Linked DNA regions of Tamandua tetradactyla. The main gene of each other region encodes a partner of the protein of the gene in region 4 in a complex. Links are inferred from orthologs where the notes say so. Each region holds a gene or a part of one and is shown on either strand. Other genes may lie near its edges. The genes, in order: KRT7, ZNF831, RBL2 and OGT.

Region 1 (7,404 bases), on a different chromosome or scaffold from region 4:
GGTTTTTGCCCTAGGGAATTGGGGGGGAGGGTCACACCCTGTCATAGGCCTTGTTTGCTCTCCTGCAGTCTGAGCCTGTGTACCTGCTCCGGCTTAGTCATGTACCCCCAGGCAGAGCACAGAACTTTCTCTTCTTGCTGCCTCCAGAGCCCACTAGGCAGGTATGGCAGGGTGGGGCCCAGCCCAAGCCTCAGGCTTTGGTTTCTATACAATGAGAAAAGAGACCTCAGGGGCACTTCCAAGGCCCGTCCTTAGAACCCCACACTTTCTGGCCCCTTTACTCCCTGCCCTACCTCATGGCCTCCTTTCTGGTTCTTGTCCTGACCAGATACACTTCTCATTTCCTACAACTTCTCCCATGCTCACAATGATCACCCTCCCTCTTTGCTTATTTCCTTCCCAAACCTGCCCCACTTCTCCTCCTGGGTCTCCAGAGCCCAAAATTCAAGGCCCAGCTCTCCCTCTGATTTGCCATGTGGCCTCAGTCAAGTCCCTGAGCCTCTCTGTTCCCTAGTCCCTCACCCGAGCAATATGGAGCTGTTCTAGAATAATCTGTGAGGGTCATGCTGGTTCTGAAGCACACCTGTCCTAGGACACCTTCTCCCTGTCCCTCTCTCAGAGCCTTACGTGAGACACCCAAAGGGAACGCAGGACTGGGCTGAGATATTTCACTGGGACTAAGTCAGGAGAAAAGATCAGAATGGCTGGGAAACAGCTCCCAGAGACAAAGAGGTGGGAGACAAGAGGCCAAGGACAATGTGACAACCTTCCTTTCAGGGAGGCATTGTCCTGAGCCCCCATACCCTCTGACCCCTGACCCAGGAGGGACTGGCAGAGGGGTCATCTGATGAGGGGCACGCTGCCCAGGGACAGGGATCCCCGCAGGTCGCACTGGGGGCCTTTACTTATTCTTGAAGTTGTCCACCACATCCTGCATAGTCCGCAGCTCCGCCTCCAAGCGGCCCCCGTCCGCCTGCAGGGTGTCCAGCTGCCGCCGCAGGCCAGAGATGTGAGCCTCAAAGATACTCGGGAGGTGGCTGCTCTTAGCCAACTTCTGCTCCTGCAGCAGCGCCCACTTGGTCTCCAGCAGCTTGTTCTGCTGCTCCAGGAACCGCACCTAGAAAGGAGATAAAGGAGAAGACTCACAAGGCGCCTCAACGGTATCCCCTACAGCAGAGATGGAGGTGGCCTCTAGACACCCAGGAGGGCCCGGGTTCCCACTGGCTGTTCCCCAGACCTTGGCTCCCAGCTCTCTCCCTTCTCCTTCAGGCAGATCATTCGGAATAACCCTCTCCTCCAGGATTTTCTGTCTTAGGGGTCCTAGAGTATGAGCAAAGGACCAGGTCTGCCTTACTTACTGATATATCCCTGGTGCTTGTTTCTCAAAAAAAAAGTGCTTAGCGTCTCCTCCCTCCTTTGTCCCCTCACTGCATTACAAGTGACCTTCTCTATCTCCTCAGCAGGGCTGCCCCGCTCATATCCCTATGTCCTGGGGCTGATGGGGCCTCATGTCCACCTTCTTCTGTGTCCCTCTCTCCTCCCCTTTCCTCCAACAAGTTCTCAAGACAGGGCTCTACCATCAATCCAATGTAAAATGGGCACTTACTACGTGGCCAACCATTTGCCCAACCCTGGGGCCCAAAAAGGCCCTTCCAGAACCCCAGTGTGACTGAGGGTGGGAGGCAAGAGAAACCAGGAATTCGGGGCAGAGAACCTGAGGGCTGCAGATGGTAAAACAGTGCAGCTCACCAGCAGGAAAGGTGGGGCACCCACCCACGGGGGTCAGGGCACCCTGGGAAGGTTGGAGACCTGGAGGATAGGTGAGGTCAGGAGAAGAGGGAAAGGCAGGAGAAGGAAAGCCTAGGCTAAGCCACTTGAAGGGGTCCTGGCAGGAGGGGCACAACGGGGCCAGCTTTAAGTGCCTGGGTCCAGCCCCACTTTGCCCCCAGTCCTCCCACACCCATCAGTCACATCTGTCTACCAGCGGGACCAGTGTGGGGCAGGTGCAAACAGCCAGGAAAAGCACCTCCCAAATGGCCCTTCCCCAGGGTCTCTCAGTGTCCCCTTCCTGTCCCCCATTGGGCCATCTCCAAGAGCAGGTTTAATCTCACCAGCTACCACCAAGATGAGGCTCAAGGACAAGACATGCCGGAGAGGTGTGACCTGGAGCCTCCCTTCTCCAGCCCTTTATTTCCAGCATCTGCCTCAGTCTCGGCAGCATCGGAGGGATGTCAGGGACTCATCGGCTGAGAAGGGCGTGTCTCCCCATCCCTGACTCCACACAGCCCTGCTCTCAGGGAAAATGACCTGCAGCTGGCCCTGTGCTCTGGAGCTTCCAGCCTGATACTGGTGACAAAAAATGGCCCCAAGGACCCACACAGATTCACAGCCAGCCAGCCAGCACCCAGGCACATCTTCTGGGAAGAAATGGAGGGGGGACTGGGGCAGCTTACTGGAGGAGAGCGAGTTGGAGACAGAAGTGGACACAGCGACAGAGTGGGTGGAGCAGCCCCATACTGGCAAAAAGGGAATGGCACCAGGGGTCCCAGTTCCTAGCCTGTACTGGCAAGGTTAGGGCAGCAGAGGTGGCCTGGGGTGTGGATCCAGGCAGGGTCTGTGCCGGGCTCACCTTGTCGATGAAGGAAGCGAACTTGTTGTTGAGGGCCTTGATCTGCTCGCGCTCCTCCTGGCGCAGCTGCTGGATGGAAGGGTCGATGTCCACCCGCAGCGGGGCCAGCAGGCTCTGATTGATCGTGACCTCGCGGATGCCGGCGCCCACCGGGCCCCCATAGGCGGAGTGCAGAGCCCCACGCGGCCGCGAGACGCCCAGGCCCAAGAGGCTGCTGCTGCTGAAGCCCACGGGGCGGCCCGGGCTCAGGCGCACCTGCGCGCCGCGCCCGGGTAAGGAGGCGGACCGCGAGCTGAAGACCTGGGAGCTGAACTGGATGGACATGGTGGCTGGATCGCAGTGAATCTAACTGAGGACGAGCGCGAACTCTCTGACCTTCCGAGACACAGCCCCTTTTATCCGCTGGGCACCGAGGGATCGGCTTACACAGGTAGGGGCGGGGCTGGCCGCGGGCCACCTTTCTCTGCCGGCCTGGCCGCTGCTGGGACCGAGCTTCCGCCCTCCGCGCCACCCACCCCACCCCGGTCAGGCTCTCAGTTCTAGCAGGAACCGTTCCGAGCCGAGCCGGGTCCCGGGCGTGCAATGGCATAAACCCCCCAGCCCCCCGGATTTAGGCAGACACTCTTAAGAACAATGAGAGACAGCAATCAGAGTCCTTCGAAGACGGGCTCATTCAAGGAAGGCTTCCCCGAGGAGGCTTGGGCGGGAGAGACCAAGTGGTGAGAGAATGGGGAAGGGTAAACACAAAAGTTTCAGGGCCTGGAGTCAGAGCCCAGGCTCCCCAGGCTACTGAAAGCCAGAAAGTCAGTGTCCAGAGATGCCCCTCCCCACACCCCCACAAGTCCAGCTCAGTTCTTGAGTAATGTGACCTCAGGGTGGCCGGCCAACCTAGCTGGTTCCCCTGGTCACATCCCCCTCAGCTCACTTCTCCGTAGACTCTAGGCTGATGGAGCACGCACCCACTTCCCGTCCACGATGGGAATGCTTACCCTGGGCCTATGCCCCCTGCAACCCCCAGGTCACATCCCTGCCCACTTATCTGCCCCTATAGAAAAAGGGAACACCTGTGTGTATATGTGACACTTGGAGGATGTGTGTACACTTCTGTGTGTACTCACCTTTGGCCTGCAGGCCACTGGGCTTCCCTTGTGCTACACTCCTAGGTATACGTGTGCATGTGTCTGTGAGCTTGCTTACTTGAGCGGGAGTCTGTGTGAGCATGTGTATGTGATGGGGGTGTCTGCAGACACACAACTGCACACATATGCATCTCTGTGTGCATATGACTGTATTTGCACTCAAACACTCCCTCCCAGCTCTGCCACCCAGAGTCGCTCATCTGAGGGACCTCCCCCACCTGAAGCCACCACCACCAAATAATTCCCAAGTTTCAATCCCAGCCCAAAAGGGGGCAAACATTGTGCTGAAACAGTTAACGCTGAGTGCTGGCCTTACTTCCCAGTAGCTTCTGAGCCACGCATGCCACACCCTCTATACTGCCCTGCCCCTATTCTTCCCAGACCCAGATTGAGGGGCGCCCAGAGGAAACTTTGGAAAAGACACCTGCCAGGCCTGTCACCTTAACCCACCCTTAGCCCCACCCGATGCGCTGGCCAGTGGTCACATCCGACCAAGCCCTTGAGGGAGTCCTAGGAGGAGGAGGGTAGGGAATGGAATGTCCTTCCTGTTTTGTATTTCAGTTAGACAAGAAGGACTTCCAGTGAGTGGACTGTGCGGCAGCTCCTGTTTGGTGATCTCTGAAAGCCCATGCGCCCCCATTCCTTCTCTCCCTCTGCCCCCCTCTATTGATTTTGGGACAGCTTGGCCCAGAGGCAGAGGAACATCCGCAGAGACCTTGAGTGGCATCTTCTGCAGGTGTGAGTGCTTGTGTGTGTGATGTGATCTCGAATTCTCAATTGTACCGTGAAGACCATACAGATTTCTGGCCCTGCGATGTATTTGCAGCCACGGGGATCCCAACCCCCTCCTCCTGACCACCAAGAAAGAAAGGGAAACCAGTTTTTAAATTCACACACACATACCCACACACACATTCCAACTTCTTTAGCCCTCAGGGCTCCTCCTCCACTCCCGTCCCCATCCCATCTGCATATCAGCCCACATGATTTGTGCGCCCAATTCTGCCACCTGCCCCTCTCCCCACTTCAGCCCTCCCCTGGAATCTGCACTCTGGAAGTTGCTCCCCACCCATCCAGAAATGCCCCACCCAAACCCCGCCCCCGTCCTCTTCTCCCCTAGAACCTCCCAGGAGAGATCTTTGCCAGGGAACTCTTGGTGACCCACCTTGAAAGCCTGGACAAGTCACTCTACCTGCCTTGGACACAGTTTCTTCCCCAACAATGAAAACCCTTGGCTCCATATGTCTGTGGACCCTTCCACTTACCTAACACCTGCAAGGGGGCAGAGTTTGTAGAGGAAGCTGGGTGAGAGAACACTGCAAAGGAAAAGGGATCTCTGGACTTCTTGGGTCCAGGCTCCAGCCTCCCCTCAAGTAGCAGATCCCCATTCCAGGCCTGCCCTCTGTCTGCTCCTGGCCTCTCTATCCCCTCCAGGAAACATTCCTGGCAGCTTCAGCCCTCGCCAGTTTCTCTTGTCTCTGTGTTCACAGGCCAACACTAGGAGCCCGCTTAGTACCAGGTGCCACGCATAAACACCCTCTGGAAAGCTTTGCTAGAAACCATCAGCACCCAGAGGCCAGAGATCGAGTTCCTGTCCCACAGGAGCTCACTGTCCTGTGCGTCACCCAGTGTGGTCTCCCATCGCCAGCCCATGCCCCTGTGGGCCTCACAGAAACCTCCTTATGAGACTCTGGACAGAATCGTGAGATGATTTAATCCTATAAAGCCTCTTCCCAAGCAGTCCTACCACAGAGGCATATTCCATCTCTGCGGCATCCTGTACACCCCCATCAAGCACGCACACTCCCTCTCCCTGCCCCCCCCCCCACTGTGCCCTCTGGAACCCAGCTATGAACAAACAAGCTACCCCAGTTCCTCAGCCCTTCTCTGCTTCCTGGAGACCTGCTCAGACACCAGGCCCACAGCCCTCCAAGGTGAGACTTGCCCTGCCTCCCCTAGGGAGGTGGGGAAGACATTCTTTTTTGCTCTCTGCTGCACTTTCAGAACCATTCTTTGTTGTCCATCCCATAAAAGTATGTCCTCTGATTCCTAAAAATATATATATATATAAGACTGATTTTTTTTTCATCATCTTGGAATGTGAAAACTTGTGTGCTCGGTTTGAATCTGTTATGTACCCCAGGAAAGACCATGTTCTTTTAGTCCACTCTTGTGGGGGCAGACCTATTGTGCGTGGGACCTTTTGCTTAGGCTATTTCAATTGAGATGTGACCCAGCCCATTTAAGAGGGGTCTCAGTCCTTTACTGTAGTCCTTTGTGAACACTACGAATGAGTAAAAGCCCAGAGATCTTAGAGAGACATGCCTGGGCAATACCAGGAAAGGACCCACAGGAGCTGAGAGAGAAAGCCACTGAACCCAGAGCTGACCCTGGGAGAAAAGGACCAGCAGATACTGCCATGTACCTTCCCATGTGACAGCGGATGATAGCGGCCTTTCCTCAGAGAAGGTATCCGTTTGTTGATGCCTTAATATGTACATTTTCACAGCCTTAGAATTGTAAATTAATGAATTCCGTTATTAAAAGCCAACCCACTTCTGGTATATTGCTTTCTGGCAGCTTTAGCAAACCAAAACAGATCTTGGTACCAGAGAAATGGAGTACTGCAATTTGCAAATTCCAAACATGCTGGAACAGCTTTATAAATCCATAAGGGGAAGTTTCTGGAAGAATTGTGAGGAGCTTGATCAAAAAGGCCTAGATTGCTTTCAAGAGACTGTTGGTAGAAATACTGACGTTAAAGATACTTACAATGAGGCCTTAGACAGAAATAATGGGTGTGTTGTTGCAAACTGGAAGAAAGGCAACCCTTGCTTCAAAGTGGCAGAGAACTCGGAAAAATTGAGTCCTGATGTCAGATGGAAGGTAGAATTTGAAAGTGATGAGCTGGAGATTTCCAAATTTAAATATGGAAAATACAGCCTGGCTTCTCCTTCCAGTTTATAGTAAAATGCAAGAGGAAAGGAATAAGCTGAGAACTGAACTCTCGGATACAAAGAAACAGTAAAATGATAGTTTAGAAAACTCTGAGCTTTTGGGAAATGAGTCCCCAGAGAATATTGCTCCATGTGAGGAGTTAACCAAACATGAAAATAGTCAGCCATTTCAGGACAAGCCAGGACATGTTCTTTTAATCCAATCTTGTGGGGCCAGACCGATTGTTGGGTGGGAACTTTTGATTAGGTTGTTTGCATGGAGATGTGACCCCACCCATTCAAGGTGGGTCTTCATCCACTTACTGGAACCCTTTAAGAGAGAGGCATTTTGGAGAAAGTTCAGACAGACATGCCCAGGGAGATGCTAAGCTAGGACCCACAGAACCTGAAGGACCCAGAACTTATAGACAGGTTAGCCTGAGAGAAGCTAAAAGATGAAATCCAGAGTTTGCCCCAGAGAAACTAAGAGAGGACCTACAGACACTTAGAGAAATGTCCCTGAGATGCTAAGAGAAGACCTGCAGGACACAGAAAGGAAGCCACTGGAAGCAGAAGCTGAAGGCAATAAACTGGGATCAAGGATCAGCAGATGCCAGCCACATGCCTTGCCAGCTGACAGAGGAACCCCAGATGCCAGCAGCCTTTCTTCAGAGTCCAGGTGTCATCTTGTTAATACCTT
Region 2 (7,949 bases), on a different chromosome or scaffold from region 4:
TACAAAAATTAATTCAAGACATAAAACAGGCTTAGATGTAAATGGAAAAACTATAAAACTTCAGGAAGAGATAGGAGAAACTTTCCAAGATAGAGCTAGGTGCAAAGCTCTTAGACTTGACAATAAAAGCATGAGCCATAAATGCAAAAAATGAATTAACTGGACCTCATAAAAATTAAAAGTGTTTGCTTTATGAAAGCCCTGATAAGAGGATGAAAATGCTAACTACAGGCTTGGAGTAAATATTTGGAAGCCATAAATCCAACAAAGAACTCATATCTAGAATATATAAAGAATTATGAAATTTTAACAGTAAAAAAAACCCCAAAAAATCCAATCAGAAAATGCATAAAAGAAAATAAGAGACATCTCATCAAAGAGGTTCAACAGATAGGAAATAAGCACATGAAAATATTTTTAAATATCATTAGCCATCAGAGAAACACAAATTAAAACCCCAATGCAGTACCACTACACACCTATCAAATGGCTAAAATAAAAAGCAATGATAACACCAAATGCTGGTGAGGATGCAGAGAAGCTGTGTCTTTCTCTCAGACATTGTCTGTGGTAAGGTAAAGCAGTACAGTCATTCTGGAAAACAATTTGGCAGTTAAAAAAAACAAAAACAAAACTAAACACACATGTACCATTTGACCCAGCAGTTGCACTCATAGGCATCTATCCCAAAATCATGTTTGCACAAAAGCCTGTACAAGGATGTTCACAGCAGCTCTACTTGTGACAGCCTCAACGACACTCAGCCCAGACGTCCTTCGACAAATGAATGCTCAAACCAACTGTGGTCCCATTCCACTCAGTGGAATACTATGCAGCAATAAAAAGGAGCCAACTACCGATATCTGCGACAACTTGGATGACTCTCCAGAGAATTCTGCTGAGTGAAAAAAGCCTATCCCGATTCCATTTATTTAATGGTCTGCAGGAGGGATGGAGGTGGAGGGCAGGAGTCAGGGGAGAGGCTGGGGGGCTGTGGCAGGAAGGCTCCTCATGGAAAAGAGTGCTATCAGTGCCAAAATATTCTGAGGGTGATCTTCAAGGCCTTGGTGGCAACCGTGCCACAGATCACTGCATCATTCCTTATAGCAGCACATGCATCTATCATGATCTCAAGACGAAAAGATGAACCCATCAAAATAGAAAAGGAGATAAGTCAAGAGGGAGAGGACTGAGACGGGGAACGCCCGTCCCCGAATGTGAGCGTGGCTGCTGTAGGGCTGCGTGCCCACTCTGGGCGAGGCACTGACTCGGCACAGCCAGCCCCCCAGAGGTCTCCCCTGCAGGTGCCCCTCCGCCCTGCACGGTGACCGTGTTTCCCCTCGGCAACCAGGCCACTGCCACCTGCGCCCTTTGGGGTGGTCCAGGTCCGTGATGCGTCCCCTGACCGTCCCTGTCCTGACTTCCCAGATCTTCATTCCCTGGCTTCTGGGTATCTTCACCCACCCAGGCCATGAGGTTGCAGCGGAGGAGACATGTGCCCTCATCAGTATCAGCCTTGTTAGCAGAGAGACCCGCTGTCAGCTGCAGCGACAGGGTGAAAGGCCCGTTATTTTAAGCCGGTCCTGCTGTTCGCTCTGCTTTTCCCAGTGAGCTGATGCTATCATTTTTCTAAGTTGCGCCCCGTCTCTTACTGCCGCGGGGCAGATAACATCTCTTGTTTCATTCTTACAGAAAGATTTGCTACAGGAAAGGAGAAGCACATTACCTCTCAGAACATGGCCTCTGCCACTCATCTGCGATAGCCTTCAGCTCGCAGCTATTTTGGATACTGGGAAGCCAACTCTGGGGAAAAATACATGGTCCCCTGGCCCCTATAAATCTCACTGAAAAATGCTACCTTCGAGTAGCCGATCAGTGCAAACTGCCATAAACAGCATCTCTATCAAAGACTTTCTTGATATAGTAGATTGTACTGTATATTTTGTTTTCAAAATTTGGGGGCTAAATAATCGATGTTTCTAACCAAGTCACACCTTCGGTTTAATTAGGTCTATCATCTTAAAAACCTGTTTATGAAGCAACAAATTTCCTGATGGGTTTTGTTTGTATGTTTAGGAGAACATGGAGTGTGGACCTGGATTCTGACAGTCATTATGAATTGCAGTAAATATTTTGACAAAAACAACAGCGGTGTTAAGCACACAAGAGAACTATTGAAATGGGTGATGCCAAGCTTTACAGAGCTTTTACTTTCACACTGCATGTCTGAAGGCAAATATATCATTAAGACCATGGGATAAAAGAGCTGGTTTCTTTTTTTAACTAGCAACTGAGATATACTGCCATCATGGAGCATGTTACCTACCTTTATGAAGAGTGGTGTCTTTTCAGCCAAAGATGTTCCCATTCAAACGCAAATGACCTGGTGTGAGCCTGAGAAGACATCCAGCCACCCAAAAGGGACAACAGAGCTTGCCACCCAGAGGAGAACAGAGCCCCAGGGCTCCTCCTTGCACGCCCCGTGGGGAGCCTGCTCCTGGGCTGAGAAGGCATCTCAGCGTCTTCCACCAGGCCCTACTCTGCAGGCAGCGTCTCAGGGGACAGATGTTGCATATGCACCCAGAAAAGGAAAGAGGAAGGCCTCCCATTGCTCGGCCTCTGAGTCAACTCTGTGTTTAACTGAGAAAAGCACCATGTCTCTCAGCCTCAAGAAGGAGACTCAAGCAGAGATGAAACTTGGGCTGGCTCAGAAATAGGAAGTAAATTATTTTCTATACATGACTTAATGCACAGTAGCAACCTTCAGAAAACAGGAAGAAACAGAAGCAGAGGAAAGAATAAGAGCCACAGCTCAGAGACTTGCTCAGTAATTGTGATTATTGATCTAACAACCCATAAACAGAGGCAGCTGCCCAGAGGCGTAGGCGTGCACACAGTGCCTTAGAGATGCGCCGTTCTGTGCAGGCTATTAAAAATTAGAGCAGGTGGCTATTTGCCTGGCTCCGTGGTTGGAGTGAGCACTTGCAGAGTTGCCACGTGTAACCGTGGGAGTGCCCGAGGGTCCACGTGTCCGTCCATTGCATTTGATGGTGGTAGGGGTCTCCCAGCCAAGGTCCTCTGAGATTCTATCTTTATTTAAATTTTTGATGTTTTGTTCATCATGGGCTTATTTGCATTAATTTTCATTTTTAAAGCATTACATCAAAATATCACCTTGATTGCATCCCTGAGGAGGCTAAACATAGAATTACCACATGACCTGACAATACCACTCCTAGGCATATACCCCAAAGAATTAAAAAAACAGATACTTGTACCCCAACACTCACGGGAAGGGTCCCTCGAAAGATGAATAAACAAAATACGGTCTATCCATACCATGGAATATCATTCAGCCATGAAAAGAAATGGAGCTCTGATATAGCAGGGATGAACCTTAAAATCATTATGATGAGTGAAATAAGCCAGACACATAAGGACAAATGCTGTAAGATTCCACTTATATCAAATACCTAGAATAGGCAAATTCACAGAGACAGAAAATAGGTTAGAGGGTCACCAGGGGCTCGGGAGGTGGAGAATGGAGAGTTATTGCTTAATGGGAACAGTGTCTTTGTTTGAAGGACTAAAAAGTTTTGGTAATGGCTGCTGCTGATGGTAGCACCAAAAGGAGAATTAATCCTGGTGAACTGCCCAGTGAAAAATGGTTCAAATGGGAAATTTTGTGGTTTTGGTGTGTGCTTACCACCAAACTACCCCCCAAATTTTTTTTTTATAAAAATACATATTATCTTGATTACTACGGTTTTGGGTGCCCCCTTAGTTTTGCACCCAAGGCAAGTGCACTGTCCTCACCTAGTCCCAGCTCTGCTCCCTGTGACTCTGGAAGGAGCCAATCTGGGTGAGATGTAAGGTGATTACTCTTCAGCTCATTGAAAAATACAATTATTTTAAGTAGTGGTGGCTGAGTGGGGGAAACTCTCTAGTGCAGAATATTAGCTAGCAGAGAGAAACTAATTTGTGGGTCAGGACAGGTTAGATGCAAAACTGGCTGTGCAGAGAGCGGGAGTGCATTCACTATTGCAGGCCATTTTCCAGTGTTCTCAAATGGGTTCATTTTCACTGGGAGGAGGATGTGTCTGTGCCCCACTCTGCCATCAATAATATCCAGCTGGTCGTGGCCTGCCTTCAGCTAAGTCGGGTTTTGGGGTCGTTTCACTGGGCAGAGTGCGCCCCCAACTGCGCTGGACCTTAGAAGAACCCAGTGGCTCAGATTGGCGTGGATCCCTGCTCTTCTCTCTGGGACCGCAGACCTCCCTATGACCCAGCAATCAGAGAGGAAGTGGCCAACACTGGGGCCTGCTCCAGCTCTGAGACCAGCACCCACTCTGTTTTAGGGGTGTCTGCCCCTTACCTATAGTTAAATATTTAAACATCTCCCCAGGCCATAGCAGGCATATAAACAAAGCAATATAGGAATCCAGAGGAAGAGGGTTTGGGGAAGCCCTAGTGGAAATGCCAACACTGGGCATTGAAAGTTACCTAAGAGTCTGAGGAACAGAAGAAATAATTCGAGCCAAGCTGGGAGGTCTGAAAGAACCCAGCAGTGTCAGGGACCTGGGAGTGTTCTGCCACAGGGAAGCTGGGGAGGGAGAGGGGGTATCTGGAAAGAGGGGCTGAAGAGACCAGACTTCCTCCCGGATTGGGGGAAAACCCCAAAAAGCTTCTAAGGAGGAAAGTTTAGGGGTACAGCGCTATGGTGGAGGAGAGGTGGGGAGAAGGCTGAACAGGGAGGCCCCAAGCACCACTCCTCGCAGGGCGCCGGGGCCAGCAGTTCACCCACTTAACCAAGGACATCTTCAGGAAAGAGCGGCTTGCCACTTCCTGAAACCAAAAGCCTCCACTCTGCCTCCTTTGTCCAAAATTGCTGCCTTCATGCACTTTATTAAGATAAATTAATACGAAAAGCTTCCTGCACCAGAGCTACTTAAAAACTTTAGCATGGATTAAAATCAAATATTTCAACAGATGAATGGATAAATAAAATATGGTATATCCATACAACGGAGTTGACAATTCAAAAGAATTAAGTTCTGATGCATGCTCCAACATGGATAAACCTGAAAAGCAAGATGCTAAGTGAAAGACCACATATTATATGATTCCATTTATAAGAAATGTCCAGAAAAGGCAAATGTCGAGTGACAGGAAGTAGATCAGTGGTTGCCAGGGGCCAGGGAGGGGGAAAGATGGGGTGTGACTACTAATGGGGACTCACTCTTAGGAGTAATGAGAACGTTCTAAAGTTAGTGGTGATGGCTGCACAACCTTATGAATATACTAAAAATCACAGACTTGTACACTTGAAAAGGATAAATTCTATGGTATGTGAATTATGTCTCAATATAATAGATAAGCAAATTTCCTCCCTTCTAATTTTTCTAAGCACCATCTTATCACACAACTCTCGAGAGCACGCAACAGGTGACCCACGCGCTAAGCCCGTGGCAATAGTCACCAAAGAAAAAGAAAAATAATTTCCAAAGAATTCTTAACTTGTCTTCTTTGACCACTCTTTTTTTTTTCTCCTTAAGGGAACAACAAAAAAAGATAAATCACTCACTTGCCAAGAGCAAGGCTCCTTTGGCAAAGCGCAGTCTGCTTTACAACAAAGCAACCCCGAGCATTGCAATTAAAACCAGCAAAGCCAGAGACGACAACATTAGCCAGCAAAACCAGAGGCGACAAGGGAGACACAGGTGGGGAGGGCAGCTCACTCAAGGTCAGTGCTGCCCCAAGAAGCTACGGCCAGAGAGAGAACAGAATGATCGCTGCCTTTGGGTTTCGGTCCTAGGACCCTCCCCAGTCCCCAAATGCACAGTCGCACGAGCGACTACAACCCCTTTCTGAAACTAAGAGCAGGGCCACCTGATCCTCCCGGGGCTGAGCGCGTGGTTGGGTCTGAGCAGGAAAGTGGGGCCCTGGGGAGCAGGGTGCAGGGGCTGGATGAGTCAAAGCAGGAGTTGATCTAGGGGCAGCCTCTCTGGGCTCCTCCGGAGGCCCGTCCCTCTCACCACTTCCTGCTGCCTGCCTTTTCCCTCCCACACCCGCCGTGGTCCTCTTCAAAGGACCAGACAGTGCCTAGAACAGAGCCTGGCAGAGTCACCATCCCAAAAGCGTGGGTTAAATAAGTGAATGTGAGTAGACAGGTGATTTTTTTTTTAAAATACTCTTGTACACACCATGCATCTTAACAAAGTACCACAAACTCGGTGGCTTCAAACAAAGACATGCACTGTCTCATTGTCTGAAATCCTTAGGGGAGAATCTTCCCTGGCTTCTTCCTAGTTTCCTGTGGCTTCCGGTGGGTGCCAGCAATCTTTGGCTTCCAACTCTGCCCATGACAGGACCTTCTCCCCTGTCTGCATCCAGACCTCCCCTTCTGCGAGGATACCAGTCATGACAGATTAAAGGCCAGCTATGCCCGCTGAAACTGTTGCATACCCCAGAAAAGCCACATTCTTTAGTCTTGATTCAGTATGGTAGGGTGGAAACTTTGGATTGTTTCCATGAAGACTGGTCCATTCAATTGTGGGCGTGGCCTTTTGATTAGATGGAGATGTGACTGCCCATTCAAGGTGGGTCTTCATTCATCTTCTGGAGTCCTTTAAAAGAGGGAACATTTTGGAGGAAACACAGTTGGTTCAGAGCTGACAGATGCAGATATATGGAGATGTTAGGAGTGGGGGGGGAGGGGGGAAAGGAGGAGAGGGGGAGAGGGGGAGAGGGGGAGAGGGAGAGGGAGAGGGAGAGGGAGAGAGAGAGGGAGAGAGACAGAGATCCTAGACATGGATATTTAGAGAGGTAGAGCCCAGCAGATGTCACCATGGGCCTTCCCATGAGATGATAAGCATGACAGAACCCAGAGTTGGGTCCCCGCAGAGCTAAGTGAAGGGCCACAGACACCTAGAGAGGAAACCACTGGCATCAGAAACTGGAAGCAATGGAACCAGGAACAAGGACCAGCAGACGCCGGCCACATGCCTTCTCACGAGACAGACATCAGGCTTTCTTAAGTCAAGGAATCTTTCTCCGAATGCCATAATTTGGTCTTAGAATTGTAAATGTGTAACTTAATAAATCCCCTTTATAAAAGCCATTCCATTTCTGGTATATTGCATTCCAGCAGCTTTTAGCAAACTAAAACACCAGTCCTACTCCGCTTTGGCCACATTTTAATTCGGCACATATCAAAGACTCTATTTCCAAATAAGGTCTCATTCTGAGGTCCTGGGGGTTGGGGGAATATGTCTTTTGTGGGAACACAATTCATAAAAAGCCAAGGTCATGTAAGACAGGTCAAGCCATGGGATCAGCTCTTCTCTTCAGAACGGATGGGAGGGATGGCTTGCAGCCTTCTCCTGTCCCGCTGCTCCATCCTGCCCCTGAGTGGCCCAGCCCATGTCATGTGTACTGGTGGAGCCCCATTTCTCAGGCCTCTGCCACGCCCTCAAACAGCCCTGGCCACATACGCCCCTGCCCTTGTCCACACCTGAGGCAGGACTAACTGAATCAAATCCCTCAATCTACCGAGCTGAAGCCAGGCCTTGCTCGGAGAGAAGACTACGTGGGACCTGCCTGGCGGGGCCAAAGGCTCCAAACCCGGGTCTCGCTTCAATGCCAGGTGCCATCATGCAGGCTGCTGGGGAAAGGCTGTCGGGGACAGTGCCCTGCCTTTCACTGAAGCCCATTCTCTCTTTAGGTTTGGGTCCCCGTTCTGACCCCTGGATGCTGGCTCCGTAGTCAAAAGGGGTTTGTCATCAGGACCTTGGCCTGGTGAGCTCCCCAGAATAGGGGTCCCTCCATGGGTGTATGACTCCGAGCCAATGGCTACTATTCTCAGCTCATACTGAAAAGTGCTACCTCCCGCCACCCCCGGGAATGTCACTGGACAAGCACCCCAGGCAATTATCTGTCTGCACACCCTT
Region 3 (6,946 bases), on a different chromosome or scaffold from region 4:
GGATAGACAGAATGATATAACAAGTATGGCAAAAAAAAGTTTAAACTGGTGGATCTGGGTATTGGGGGAGAAGGATGAGGTATGGTGGAGTTCTTTGTATGCGGTTTGTATTATTTTATTATTGTACAAGTTTAAAATATTTCAAAACAAAAAGTCAAAACAAAATTTAATTTACAACTGAACTTCTCTCTCTTACATCCACATATCTTATTAATATAAAATTAAGTCACAGCATTATCCTGTGTTTTAATGAAAGGTTTGCAGTAGATGATTTTTAATGGTCTATTTTGGTTCTAGGGAATTTACAACCATATCATTCCCAAAAAGAAGAAACAAAATTAGTCTTACATATTATAATTTTATAGTGCTTAAAGAACAAAGTAGACTGAGGACCTATTTCTTAATTAATGTAGGTCTACTAGGCTACAGACAGGTTAAAAGCAGGCTCCGTACCTGGTTTCCCTTTGGTCCTAAAAAATGTTTGTTGAAAAGCCCCTGATGCCCACAACTCCCCTCCTCCACCAAAAAAAGGCGTCACTCTCAAAATTAACAACTCATGGTCATACACCTATGGGGTCAAGTAGATCTGGGTTTGAATTCCGGTTCTGCCATATATTTACAACACCTTGGGAAAACTTCTTAGGTTCAGTTTTCTTACCTAAGGATAATGAGAATTAAATGAATTAATCATAAAGCTCAGAAAATACAAGCAATCAAAAAGTACAACTCTATAACCAGTATTCTGTATTAAATATCATGTGAGCTTTATTTTCCTTTGTACACTCCATGAGAATGACATTCCATGTTATCTCACATCATATCTAAATATAATGTCCACCATAGTAGGAATTTTTACCAGTTTTCTTCATTGCTTTATCCTCAGTACCTAAAACAGTGTACACAAAACAAAGAAATATTTGATAAATGGATGGAGTTTCATGCATTAACTGGGTAAACTGAGCTAAGAAACTGAAACTGGAGTCTTTTCAAAAACTCAAGTAATAGAATGTGTTTTCAAAAATAATTTACCTCCTATCTGCTATGCACTTACATAATGCTGGCCTTCATAAAACTTAACCTTTATATATCGGAATAGTTCTACAGTATGGTGATAATGCTGGCTGTACCTAATTTGCAGGATTATCCTGAGGGTAAAATAAGAGCTTCTTGGAGGTCCTTAGGCCCTGATCAAATTAAAAAAAAAAAAAAAAGGAGTCCTCTTTGCCAGACCAAAGGACAGAAAGCACTGAGAGATAAAGAAAAGCATGGTCTTTCCAGCCATATCATTGAGTACATGAAAGAACTCTGTAAGATCTAAAGCACTGTCCATATGAGTGCCTACTATGTACCAGGAACACACATTACCTTATTTAACCTTCAGAAAAGCTCTGTGAGGTAGGTAAAAATAACTACCGTTTATTTATCACAAATTTGAATTTTGTAGCAGTTTTGTCTCAAGTCATCTAGGTCTGTCAAATCCCCAAGTATATTACTCTATCTTTCGGTAGATATAACAAAGGGGAAGAGGGGGTAGTAGATGAAATAAAATTCTATTAATGCAATAAAATTTTTTAAAAAAATAACCTTTGTCAGCAATTACACTTTAGGCAAAAACACAACCGAGTTAAATAATAACGTAGATCTTCACACCCTGGGCCTATTTGCCCTACTCTTTCCACAAACCGCATATGAAACAACTTAAGAAAAACAAATGGCCTCATGTGTAAACGCCAGACACACGGGCAGTGAAACAGCTGATAAACCACCCGGACTTCCGTACCACTTTCCATTCGGCCCAAAAAGAGGAGACCGCCTGCTCAGTTGACGATTACTGGCTAAATGACCATTTTTCCCATCTGTGCGACCCATACGAAGAAAGAGACATGACATGCCTGGGTCATGACATGTCCTGTGCAATGTCTGAGGTGACCAAAAAAGATCCTCAGAGCAGTCGCAGCTCTGACTCACTGGTGATTAGTGGGGGCGTGCTTCTATATCCCGGTAGGCAAAAAGTTCATTTAACTTGACCTAAGGAAGATTAGTCTTACTACCGTACATAAACACGGCACGAAATTTAACAATACATTAATTCAAACGATTCGATGCCTCAATGAAAGCAATTTGGTACAACAGGAAAAGAAGTGGAGGAGAAGCCTAGAGACCTAAGGCGCTAAAATCGGATCAAACGCTGAGCGAACCTGGGCAAATCCCCTTCCTTCCCTTCTCAGTACAGTGTTGACAACCACACATGTTCATTCTGCCAATCGGGTACTCAGGGCTGCAAAACGACCACACAGGCCCATTTCTGTAATGGTGACTGCAGTACAACCTCAGCCTCGCCGTTTTACTTAAGGACAAGACGTGTTTCCCATTCTGAGCCAAGAGGAAAGAGCAGCAAGACCAGATTCACCCTCAGAGCCGCTAAGAGACTTTTAAAAGCCTAATTTCCAAGACTACAGTGGGCAGAAAGGATTCCCATCCCGCTCCAGGCTGGGCGCCCGGGGCCTCTCCTCGGGTCCCTGCGGGTCGCCCCGTCCGGGGTGAGAAGGCGGGGCCCCATCTCCGGAGCGGGACACAACCACTAGGCCCCGAGAGCCCCCTCGCCTCCTCGCACAGACGAACCTCCAGCGTGTAGCTCTCGCTCATGTTCCGGTAGCTGTCCCAGGCCTCCGCCCGCGCCGCCTCGTCCATGTTCAGGCGGCTGCACAGCTCGTCGAACCGCCGCTGGGTCTGAGTGGCCGGCGATCCGGCCGGCTGCGCGACTTCCCCCGCCTCACCGTCGTCGTCCTCCTCCTCAGCCTCTGAGGCCGCGGCCGCCGGCGGGGGAGGCGGGGGCGGCGGCGACTCGTCGCCTCCAGACGGCATATCGCACCCCAGGGCGGCTGGTCCTCAGGATAGTCGAGGGCCAGGACCCAGAGCCATTCAAACCGTGAAGCGCCCGCCCGTCAGTCGCTCTCTCCACGACTGCGCTGCTACCAACGGCGCGGGACCTCTTATGGGCTCCAGTAGTTGTGAGCACGGCCTGCTGGGAAATGTAGTCCAGTCCGGAGGCTTATGTGGGCCAAAAATTACGTAAAAAACTTGTGTCGTCACCCCTGGGCAAAAGGGTTTCTCCGCGTTTTAAGTGCCTCTCCACGGCGAGACCATCTAGCAGAGAGAAAAAGAAAATGTCCAAGAAACGTTGACAATGAAGGTTTAATGTTCAAGCTGTCCCTAGAAATCATAACTCCTCGTAACCTGGGTTTCTTTATCTAAAAAATTAAGATAACAGCAAGGGCTTATTTGCCTAAATTCAAATCTCCACTCCGCTCCTAATTTCTAGTTTTATCCTATGTTTTAATTTTATGTGAGCCTTTAAAGTAGCTATTGGATTTTTTTTAATGCAGAAATTATTTTTTTTCCATAGGGTGACTTTACATTCCGTCTAACTCACATATGTGTACTACTCTCAGCCACCCAGTTGGTTTAACTTTATATAAAGCTGTGTGTGTGTGTGTGTGTGTGTGCGTATGTGTGTGTGTGTGTGTGTGTATTAAATAAGAATTGCTGTCTTGCTATTTTTGCTTTGCGCAGTGTGGTATGTAAACTGAGGTAGAGAACTAAACTGCTTGGGACAAAAAAAAAGGAGTTATGGAAGATATAGGGGGAGGAGAGAGGATAGAGAGGGGAGACTTGGCTAGATAACAAGACACCTTAGGGACAGTTTGGAGACAATGAAACCCTCTCTGTGAAACCTGAGGTAAAATTCACATTAATTAGTGACCCTTTTAGGACTGAATTTGCTTTGTCAATGCTCAGTTTCAAGGTGACTCTGGGACAAGAATAGAAGCCCTACACAAACAGTTTACACGCATTTGAAAGAAGTTTGTAAAAGTTCTCTTTCCTTATATTTAGGATGGAGATACTAAATTTTAAAATAATGATCTTACTTATTTTGTATACTATTATCACACTTTACCAGGGGTAAAACTTGAATTGTTTATTGAAGTAAAATGAACTTCACTATTTTTAGTAGAATTTAAACTTTATTCCCATTACATATGTATTTTATTAGAATATGATTTATTTTAATATGGTTATATTAATATTTCTTTTTAGTCTCCAGTGTCTTGGAGCAGTTAGAAGCAAAACTTAAAATTGTGAAACTGTAACCTATACCAAACTTTGAAATCTGTTCTATAACTAATTGTTAAAATGTTCTCTGAACATACTAAATTACTTTCCAGAAACCTACAACCTGTAATTGGAATCCTAGGCCAGATAAGTCCTGAAACTCAGAGGGGCCAGCCTCTCCAAGAAAATCAACTAGTTCCATCCCCTGATCCCATACTATTGACACCACTTTCCAACATGAAAAAGTTAGAATGGGCATAACCCAAATACCCCTAAAGATTGGGAAAAGGATCAAAAGAGGAGGAGTGTGCTGGTTTGAAAATATTATGTTCCCCCAGAAAAGCCATGTTTTAATCTTGATTCAGTCTTGTTGGGGCAGCTGTTTCATTTAATCCGGTATGTTGGAAACTTTTGATTAGAATATCTCTACAGAGATGTGTCACGCCCAATTGTGGACATGACCTTTTGATTAAATGGAGATGTGACCCCACTCATTCCAGGTGAGTCTTAATTAGTGTACTGGAATCCTTTAAAAGAGGAAACGTAAGAGTCAGAAATGACAGAGCAGACGGAAACTTCAGAGCAGAGTTGACAGGCAGAAAACATGGATATGGAAATGCCATGAGATGTTAAGCAAGTCAGAACCTAAAGAGAGCCAAGGGAAGTCAAGAGATGAGAGCCAGCCCTGGAGAAGCAAAGTGAGGAGCCCCCACAGGAACAGAGGTTGAAAACGACAAAGCACAGGAGCTAGGGACCAGCAGACGCCAGCCATGTGACTTCCCAGCTGACAGAGCTGTTCCAAACAGTATCAGCCTTTCTTGAGTGAAGGTAATCTCTTGTTGGTGCCTTAATTTGGACGCTTTCTCTTCCTTAGAACTGTAGACTTGTAACTTATTAAATTCCCCTTTGGTAAAAGCTGTTCCAGTTCTGGTATATCGCATTCTGGCAGCTAGCAAACTAACGCAAGGAGTTATAATAGAGGATAGGATTTAACAAATGAGTATGACTGTGGAATCATTATATTAATATTTCTTTTAGTCTCCGGTGTCTTGGAGCAGCTAGAAGGAAAAACCTAAAATTGTGGGACAGTAACCCATACCAACCCTGAAATCTATTAAATGACTACTTGTTACAGTATACTTTGAAATTTATTGCTTTTTTGTATATATGTTATATTCCACAATAAAATGTTTAAAAATATTTAACATCAGTATTTTCAAGAGAATTGGTTGCAGATTGTATGTTCAAAACATGGCCACAACAAGAAACCAAAGAGTAAATATCGTATGGTCTCATTTAGAAAATAGTTATAAGAAAACTGGGGCCTAGATTATAAGCTTTTATAGCAGTTAGTCTGGAGTGGTGATTGTTATTTCTGGACATTGAGGGGCTGTTTTATATATGTATAACCTGTTTTTTAGAGATAAGAACAAAGCTGATCAGGTTGTGATTAAGATAATTCAGAATACAGGGGTAAGGAAGAAATTGCCTATATTTTAGAACTTCACCTGCTCTTTGAGACCAAAAGAAGAAAGGTTTATTTTGTCCAGAACCTAAATTTTCAGTAGCACATAATCTAGCTCAGATAACTCATTTAAACAATCCACACACAGGGAGCCCAGAATAAGAATGAGAGTCTTGAATCCTGTATAGCTTAATGTAATGCCAGGATACATCCCAGAGTATATTAAGTAGGTAATCAAAAAGTACTGGCAAAGCCCCTTGAGGAATGGGAGAAAAAAATATGAAGCTATTAAACTTTACCTCCAGGGAAACCCCGGATACTGTGTCAAACATTAGGAACACCCAAATCAATAGGCCAAGCCCTTGATCTTGAGCCTTGCTCTTGTGAAGCTTCTGTATGTAGCAGAGAAGCTTAGCCTACCTATAGGTATGCCTAAGAGCCACGTCTGGAAGACCTCTTTTGTTGCTCAAATGTGGCCTCACTCTCTCTAAGCCCCACTCTGCAAGTGAAAACATTGTCCGCCCCCCGCCCCCCCAATATGGGACATGACATCCAGGAATGAAAGTCTCCCTAGTGGTGTGGGAGATGACTCCCAAGGCTGAGTCTGGCTCTGGCTCTGTGGGATCAACAATGCCATCCTGGCCAAAAGGGGAAAAGAAGTGTAACAAATAAGGTTTCAGCAGCTGAGAGAGTTCAAATTGAGTCAAGAACCTACTCTGGAGGTCACTCTTAGTCATGTTTCAGTTAGACATTGCTACCTAGCATAGCTTGCCAAACTCCAACCAAAACCATTTCTGCCAATATTAAAGAACACCTAGGGTGTTTATAAGACTACAAAAGTTCCATGCGCTAGAGTAACTTCCTAGAAACCTACAACCTCCAGGTGGGTCCCTGGACCAGATAAGTCCTGTAATGCAGAGGGGCCAGCCTCTCCAGAACATCAACTAGTTCCGTCTCTCTATCCCATAATATCAACAGCCCCTTCCGACATGAAAAAGTTAGAATGGGCATAGCCCTAATACCGCTAAAGAGTGGGAGAAAGATCAAAGGTGATGGTGGATTTATACAAAGATGGTCAGGTTTAACAAATGAGTTTGACTGCTGAATCATTATATTGATATTTGTTTTAGAGCAGCTAGAAATAAAACCTAAAATTGTAGAATTGTAACCCATACCAAACTCTCAAATCTATTCTACAACTAATTGTGGTGATGTGCTTTGAAATTTATTGCTTTTTATATATATATATGCTATTTTTCACCAAAAAAAAAAAAGAGAGAGAGAGAAAGAAGATTATAACAGAGAAGACAGGATTTAACAAATGAGTATGACTTCTGAATCATTATATTGATATTTCTTTTGGTCTCC
Region 4 (7,293 bases):
TTACCTTTTATGCATCTGCCTTTCAGATCCTGTAGGAAGTAAAAAGCGAAGTTACAAACCAAAAATAAAATAGTACTAGAATTTATATTTACTCATGTTATTACCCTCACTGGAGATCTTTATTTCTTCCTGTGGCTTCAATCTATGGTCCATTATCTTTTCCTTTCAACCTATAGAACTCTTTTAGCATCTTTTGTAGGGCCTGTCTGGTGGTGATGAATTCCCTCAGCTTCTGTTTGTCTGGGAATGAGTTAATCCCTCCTGTTCTAGTTTGCTAGCTGCCAGAATGCAATATACCAGAAACAGAATGGCTTCTAAAAAGAGGAATTTTATAAGTTGTTAGTTTACTGTTCTAAGGCCGAGGTAATGTCCCAATTAAAGCAAGTCTACAGAAATGTCCAATCAAAGACATCCAGAGAAAGACACCTTGGTTCAAGAAGGCCGATGAAGCTCATGGAGAACACAGTCACAGTTTCTCTCTCGGCTGGAAGGGCACATGGTGAGCAAGGCATTATCTGCTAGCTTTCTCTCTGGGCTTCCTGTGTCATGAAGCTCCCTGGGAGGCATTTTCCTTCTTCATCTCCAAAGGCCGCTGGCTTGTGGGCTCTCTGCTTCTCGTGGCTATGTCATTCTGCTCTGCTCTCTCTGACTCTCTTATTCTCCAAAATGCTTCCTCTTTTATAGGACTCCAGTAAACCAATCAAGACCCACTCAAATGGGTGGAGACACATCTCCCCTAATCCAGTTTAACAACCACTCTTGATTAGTTTACATCTCCAGGGAGATGATATAATTACAAACAGTATTGAACAGGGATTTTTCTGCATCTACGAAATGGGATTTTGATTAAAACATGGCTTTTCTAGGGTACATACATCCTTTCAAACCAGCACATCTCTCTTATTTCTGAAAGACAGCTTTGCCAGATACAAAATTCTTGGTTGGCAATATTTTTTGCTTTCAGCACTTTAAACATGTCACCCCACTGCCTTCTTGCCTCCATGGTTTCCAATGAGAAATTTGCACTTAATCTTATTGAGGCTCCCTTGTACCATGACTTGTTGCTTCTCTTTTGTGGCTTTCAAAATACTCTTTTTATCGTTGGCATTCAACAGTTTGATTATAGTATGTCTCAGCAGGGGTTTATCATGTTTAGAATTTGTTGAGCTTTTTGGATGTGTATATTTATGTCTTTTGTTAAATTTGAAGTTTGCAGCTATTACTTCCTGAAATATTCTCATTGTCCCTTTCTCTTTTCTCCCTCTGGGATTTCCACAATGCATAGTTAGTATGCCTGATGGTGCCCCACAGGTTCCTCAGGCTCTGTTTGTTTTTCTTCATTCTTTCTTCCTTCTGCTCCTCAGACTGGATGATTTCCATTGTCTTATCATTAAATTCCCTGATTATTTCTTCTGCCAGCTCCAATCTGTTGAACCCTTCTAGAAATTTTTAAACTTCTGTTATTATGGTCTTCTGCTCTGGATTGATGCGTTTTCATAATTTCCATCTCTATATTGATATTTTTTGTGTTCCCCTATTGCTTTCCTGATTTCCTTTAGTTCCTTGTTCATGTTTGCCTTTAGGTCTTTGAGAATATTTGGGACCATTTTTAAAAAGTTTTTGTCTGGTGTGTCCCAGGTCTGGTCCTCCTCACTGATGGTATCTAATGCTTTAATCTTCTTTACCTGGGCCATTGCTTGCTGTTTCTTTTATGTTTTGTAATCTTTTCTGAAACTTGGACATTTGATATTTTAATGTGTTATCTCTGAAATTTAAACTCTAGGCATCTGCTCCTTCAAATTTTATCCAACTAGTGTTATGACTGAGTTTTCCTTGAATGGCAGGACCTAACAAAAAAAAAAAAGCAGGGGGAGGGGGAAGAAGGAAAAAAAGAAAACACCTTTCCCAGACTTTGCAGATTGACCTGTGCAAGTGCCTTCCTTTGGGGTTTATCTATACAATGGGATGTATGGGAATAGCTGAAGGCTAAAGCATAGGGGCCTTACAGACTCTTTCTGCACCTGTGTCTTGTCTGGGGCATGCACGTATGGCCCTAGGAATTCCCTTGTTTACTGGGTTAGGAATGTCCCCTCTCCCCTATGAAACAGTTTCCTCAGGGTCCGGGACTACATTGTCTGTCCTACAGCCCGTGATCCCTTGCCTCAGGCAGCAGGATTTGACTGTTTTCCCACAGCAATCTGTGGGAGAGCTCTGTGAGCTGCCTTCTACACACAGCGCAAGTTCTGGAGCACTGAGACGCTCAGACCACCACCAGATAGACTGAAACAAAACAGACATGCTCCCAGCATGTGCACCGGGGCGGGCCGCCCTCTCTCTCAAGAACTGGGACTCGGATTCACACTGAGCGAATGGCCCACCAACTCCGCTGCTTAGCCAGTGAGGGGTAGGGGGAGGTTCCAGCCAGGGAAAGAGGATATCCAACCGCTTTTTAAGTGGCCCTTTTCTTGATTCCATGCTTACCCTGTTACTGCATGTTACTACAATCCTTTAACTGATTTCTGGAGCCCTAAGAAAGATGTTTTCATCAGGGGATTTTCTCTAGTGAGCCACTGTGAGCCCCACCTTCCAGTTTTGCATGGTAGCAAAACGTATCATAACATCTTCGGACTCTTCTCTCAGGATAGGGAACTTTAAACCACAAGTATGGATGGGCCAAATGATTGGGAGCATGACCTGGCATTTAACAACAATAAGAGTTTGGCTTAATTGGCTAGCACCCACTAATCAGTAAGGCCTAAACATCTGCCAGTGGAATTTGAGAAGTCTGGTTTAAAAGTTGAAAAGCTGAGTTTATTCACCACATATGGGGCACTGGTAGTGGGAGGGGAAGCACCATCAACAAAAGCCCAATTTCTAGGAGAGTTTGTGCAGTGAACTTTGTCTTTTTTACTGCGTGATGTTACTCTTGATTACGGGATGGAAGAAATTACCAACATTATGATACTTACAGGGCTGAGAATTATTCTCTGTGCTCATATCCATAATTAACAGTTTGTGGACTGTCTGGAAGAAATTGAAGCGTTGCTCAAGGACTTTCTTTCTTTTTTAACGTAGTAGAAACTTTTTGAAGAAATTCACTGACCTGTTTTCTTAGATCAAGGACTAAACAAAATGGCACAGAGACTCAACTTGTTACCTCCAGTGGCTTATAATAGTTTCTTGCTGATAGGAAAAGCTACCTTAAATCCTTTCTAGAACAAACTATGAGGTATAAATGAATACTAATGTTACAAAATATCTAATCAGTGGACTTGAGACTCAGGAGGATTTGTAAGAGCTCATTTGCTTATGGAAGTGGAGGTAATTCAGACTCAAATTACATGTGTGGTGCAGATAAATGGCAAGTGAATTCATTTATCATTTCTGAATTGCATCAAGCGCAATGCAATCACAGATTGTGAGGATTTGCAGACCTATTTTGTGGAAATGAAGTCACAACTCAGAAGAGAGTCAGATTTTGAACGGTAGGAATCATATTTAAGTAGGAATCATATTTAACATTTTATGGCTGCCTTTGGGGTGCGAACTGTAAGGTTGTCCCTGAGTTAATTATCTACCCTATTGCTGTAGGCAGAACTATTCTGAATATCAAAACTATTTGGAAATTTCGGGCTATATAGCCAAAATCTGAGATGTTTGGGTTCATTTGGCCATGCGAATGTATCAGTCTTTTTTCATCAAAACGTTTGAATCAATTGCTGGAGTCAGAATTATGACGTGTTCAAATTGGAAAAGCTTCCCCCAACGTTTTGACGAACAGTTCAATCTTCAAAAATTCAATCACAATTTTATTTGTTTGGAATCGATGCACGACTAGTAATTCTCAGCCTTGTAAGTATTCATTTTCGTATGAATAAAGCTGATGTAAACTTTTTAAGCCTCCTTTGACATTTCTATTAAAATCTACATTATTGGCTAGGTAACAGGTTACACTTGGCACTTTTCACTTTGGCAAAAATGGATGCGCTTTTTAAACCTTCTGCTTCACTATTTAAAAACAAAACGAAACCAAACCAAACGAAACGAACAAAACAAAACTTGGACGCTCCTGCCCTAGACGGTGCCCTAGCCAGCCCGAGTCAGGTTGACAGGGTTGCTCGCATGCGCTGTCGACGCAATCGTGTTTGTCGCAATGGGCCCTGCGCGGAAGGTTACACAATAGCAAGCGACTTTGATTATAGTCATTTTGTCTGTAGCGCTGGTTACCGCGCTACCTCCGCACTGGTACTTGATTGTAACAGAAAGTAGTTCCGGCCCGTGTTGTTTCGGCCGAGGAGCAGTAGCCGCCATTTCAAGACTGTGAGAGGTAGATAGCTAACTATAGTTCCTAAGGTTCGAAGTCTGTAACTGCTGCCGCTGTTTAAGCCTTCCAAAGTACTGGTACTGTTGTTGCCCTCTTACCACTACCTCCAGAAACATTCTTGCTAGTAGCGGCGGCAGCGGGACCCACTTACCCCTCCTCGCCCTCCCCCAAGAAGCTCCAGATGGCGTCTTCCGTGGGCAACGTGGCCGACAGCACAGGTACCAGTGTCCCGTTCTACCTTGGCAGACGCCCCTTCGGGGTCTCGTGCTGTTTCCCCCCTCTCCTCCTTCCCTCCCTTCTAGCCACCCTCGTTGCATCAGTGGTATTGCGTTAGCTTGTCGTGGTCTACCGGCATCTGATGGGTTTTTCCTCCGTCTTCTCCTCCTTAAGCATTTCTTCCTCCTTCCTTTCTCGCTTGTTTTCTGCTTCCTTGTTCCCCTTTTCAATCCCATAAATGTTCTAGCCTTCTACACTCTCGGGACACTTCTCCCACCAGTGCGCTGTAAGGATGTCTCGGAACGGACTGCGTTGGAATCCCTGCCCTTTCACTGTCCTTCCCAACCATTTTCTGCCCTCATTCCAGCTCACCGCTCGCTGCTCTTCCCTCTCCACGGCCCTTTCCAACCCTTTCAAGCCCTTAACCCGATTTGGGTTGTCAGTCTACGGCAGGGGTGCCATTCCGATGTAAACGCATCCCCATTTTGCAGCACCCAAGGACGAGCGAAAGCTCGCCGATGTGCTTACAAGGAACCTCGAGAAAACGGGACCTTGAGTAAGCAGCACCCCGCTGAGGCAGCTGCGCCTTTCTAGTCTGCTTTCGGTCGAGTGGGGGCCCGGTCTGGATTGGAAATTTCCAGGCGTTCTCTGCAATCGCCCAAATCCGCACGCTGCCCCCCCACCCCCACAGCCTGCCTTGCCATCCAGTGCCCCCTCCGCTCCCCTCCCGCAGGGAACCACACCCTTCCCTTCGCGACGTTGCCAGCCCTGCGGTCCAGTTTCTATCCTTGGGGCAGAAACCACCCCGGTGCTATTGCTTTGGTGTTGACCGCACTGCGTTCGGGAATCTCGCTTTGTTGTGACTTTCTCCTTGTATTCCTCCGCCGCCGCCTTCTGGGTCTTCCATCCCCATTCTTTAGCCTCGCATCTCCTTATTCACAGGGTGGATCTCTCTCTCTCTTTTTTTTAATATATATTTTAAGTTTTCATCCCTGCTTGAAGAGTTTGTAAAGCCACTGGAGTGTAGCTGCACAAGTGCCAGGCGGTTGCCCGTTTAGATAATCGAGTCGAGAGCATTTTGTGTTCAAAATTTACAAAACATCCAAATTGTAGGAGTTTCGCTTCGGCTGCCTTTCCCCATAGGGGCTATTTGGGGAGGAGGAAGGAGGAGAGGATTGGGCCGCGGTCCTGATATTTCCCACGAGGTTATTTTTTGATATTTCTCGGTTGATATGTGTAGAGGGTTTTTATTATTTTTGGACATTGGACGGTAAATGATAAATGGATCTTCAATTCCCTGTTATCCATAATTATAGGTAGTGAGATTAATAAATAGTCACTGTTCTACCCCTCCTCCCCACAGTGATTTTTAAAGATAAAAGATTCTGCACTTGCTTGCCTTTTTTTGTGTGTTTTATTTGAGGTAGTCGTCATTTCAAGTGTTAAAGTTAGCAGAGGAGCCACTTGGAAAAGTGATAAAGTAATGCATTAAATTAAGGAGCTAGGAAGGTCTAGAGACTTCTCTAAAATGTAATTTTCTGTGCTCTTGAAGAGAAAGTCTCCCCATTTCGATACAGGTCTCTCTGCTTTTACGTATACATGGTCAGCGGTACATTCTGTCAGGAAATTTACTTTGCTTTCCTTAGTATCCAGAACACACTTTAATGATCGAGAAGTGAGACTCCAATTTGAGTTTGTCTCTGTGTCCTTGGTGGAGTTTAGGTAATTTCCTTAGTTTCCCAATCCAACAATCTATGCATGTTTGTGGGAGTGCTATGGTCAAATTTCCGATAATATATCATCACTGTTTAAATAAGTATTTACAATGAAGACTTAGGCCTTGTTTGTTTTTCTCTCTCTAGGCCTTAACTATATTCTTATCTTTGTACCTAAATTAAGTCACCTGCATACAGCAAAGGCTTTTATTTATTGTTTATTCTGTTGAGCTTTAACAAATGTTATATATTTTAGTATTTTCCCATTTTTTTAAAATTATTATAGTTGTAGGTAACTGCCTGGTTTATATAGAATTGTTTACAATACCTTGATTCTTTAGTCAGTGCCACAGCACTTTGGAAAATGCTAGTGTTAAACCAGTGTGGGTGGGATTTCGCTAACTTAGTATCTTTGTGAGTTTGGGTTGGTAGAGGAGTAATGTAACTCTGGGTCTTTATTTAAAATGTTTATGACCCCTTTAAAATATTTTAGCTCTTGACAGATGGATTTATCTTGTTTATCAGCTATTTTAAAAATAGCACCTGACTTTGAGTTTTTTCCTTTTGCTTCTTTCTAGTGTTGCCCTTGCTTAAAAATATATATATTATGAACTAAACAAACACATCAATATAAAGAGTAAAAACAAAATAAATATCTGAGTCCCCACCTAGGTTAGATGGTTACCAGTTATCCACTCCTTTACGCCTACCAAATCCAACCTAAAACATGATGGAAAGTATTGTTTCTCAGATGGTTGTTCTGACATTACTAAATCTTTATCACCTTTCAAAATCACGTTTTATACTTTGTTTCTATATGTTAACTAAGGTATAAGGAATAATGTTTAGTTACTCTTTAAATGTTACCTACATTTAACATTTATAATGTTATAAATGAGTTTATAATTTAAGAGTACAAAAAATATTTTTGTACTCTTGTTCAAAAAATGTAATATAGTTTGAAAGTAAATATTCCTATCTAGTTTGGGAAAGAAAGTATTAATGGATGAATTCTGAAAATGCCAATTCTGCACCTGT

The links.
Region 1: the proteins of OGT (region 4) and KRT7 are in contact, whole or in part, in a crystal structure (PDB 4XIF), measured with the Homo sapiens proteins. The link is inferred for Tamandua tetradactyla from reciprocal best matches to the Homo sapiens genes OGT and KRT7. Residues at the interface, in NP_858058.1 of Homo sapiens: His506, His508, His509, Asn567, His568, Pro569, Tyr642, Thr643, Lys644, Gln849, Phe878, Val905, Ala906, Pro907; in NP_005547.3 of Homo sapiens: Val9, Phe10, Thr11, Ser12, Arg13, Ser14, Ala15.
Region 2: the proteins of OGT (region 4) and ZNF831 are in contact, whole or in part, in a crystal structure (PDB 8FUF), measured with the Homo sapiens proteins. The link is inferred for Tamandua tetradactyla from reciprocal best matches to the Homo sapiens genes OGT and ZNF831. Residues at the interface, in NP_858058.1 of Homo sapiens: Phe723, Ile734, Met779, Ile787, Ile790, Asn791, Arg792, Gly793, Leu808, Ala809, Thr831, Arg832, Ser833, Gln834, Tyr835, Gly836, Leu837, Pro838, Glu839, Arg877; in NP_001371283.1 of Homo sapiens: Phe937, Ser938, Pro939, Lys940, Tyr941, Leu942, Leu943, Arg944, Leu945, Pro946.
Region 3: the proteins of OGT (region 4) and RBL2 are in contact, whole or in part, in a crystal structure (PDB 4XI9), measured with the Homo sapiens proteins. The link is inferred for Tamandua tetradactyla from reciprocal best matches to the Homo sapiens genes OGT and RBL2. Residues at the interface, in NP_858058.1 of Homo sapiens: His506, His508, His509, Asn567, His568, Pro569, Tyr642, Thr643, Lys644, Gln849, Phe878, Val905, Ala906; in NP_001310537.1 of Homo sapiens: Thr417, Pro418, Val419, Ser420, Thr421, Ala422.

The regions. Positions count from the first base shown.
Region 1 is NC_135333.1:113,582,461-113,589,864, reverse strand, and holds the start of KRT7 (keratin, type II cytoskeletal 7), read right to left. Parts: upstream 3,015-7,404; 5' UTR 2,954-3,014; coding exon 2,630-2,953; intron 1,118-2,629; coding exon 906-1,117; intron 1-905.
Region 2 is NC_135327.1:26,110,756-26,118,704, forward strand, and holds the start of ZNF831 (zinc finger protein 831), read right to left. Parts: upstream 3,019-7,949; 5' UTR 2,327-3,018; intron 1-2,326.
Region 3 is NC_135342.1:47,206,914-47,213,859, reverse strand, and holds the start of RBL2 (retinoblastoma-like protein 2), read right to left. Parts: upstream 3,007-6,946; 5' UTR 2,866-3,006; coding exon 2,623-2,865; intron 1-2,622. UniProt on the Homo sapiens protein: Key regulator of entry into cell division. Directly involved in heterochromatin formation by maintaining overall chromatin structure and, in particular, that of constitutive heterochromatin by stabilizing histone methylation.
Region 4 is NC_135353.1:99,921,923-99,929,215, reverse strand, and holds the start of OGT (UDP-N-acetylglucosamine--peptide N-acetylglucosaminyltransferase 110 kDa subunit), read left to right. Parts: upstream 1-4,280; 5' UTR 4,281-4,505; coding exon 4,506-4,542; intron 4,543-7,293. UniProt on the Homo sapiens protein: Catalyzes the transfer of a single N-acetylglucosamine from UDP-GlcNAc to a serine or threonine residue in cytoplasmic and nuclear proteins resulting in their modification with a beta-linked N-acetylglucosamine (O-GlcNAc).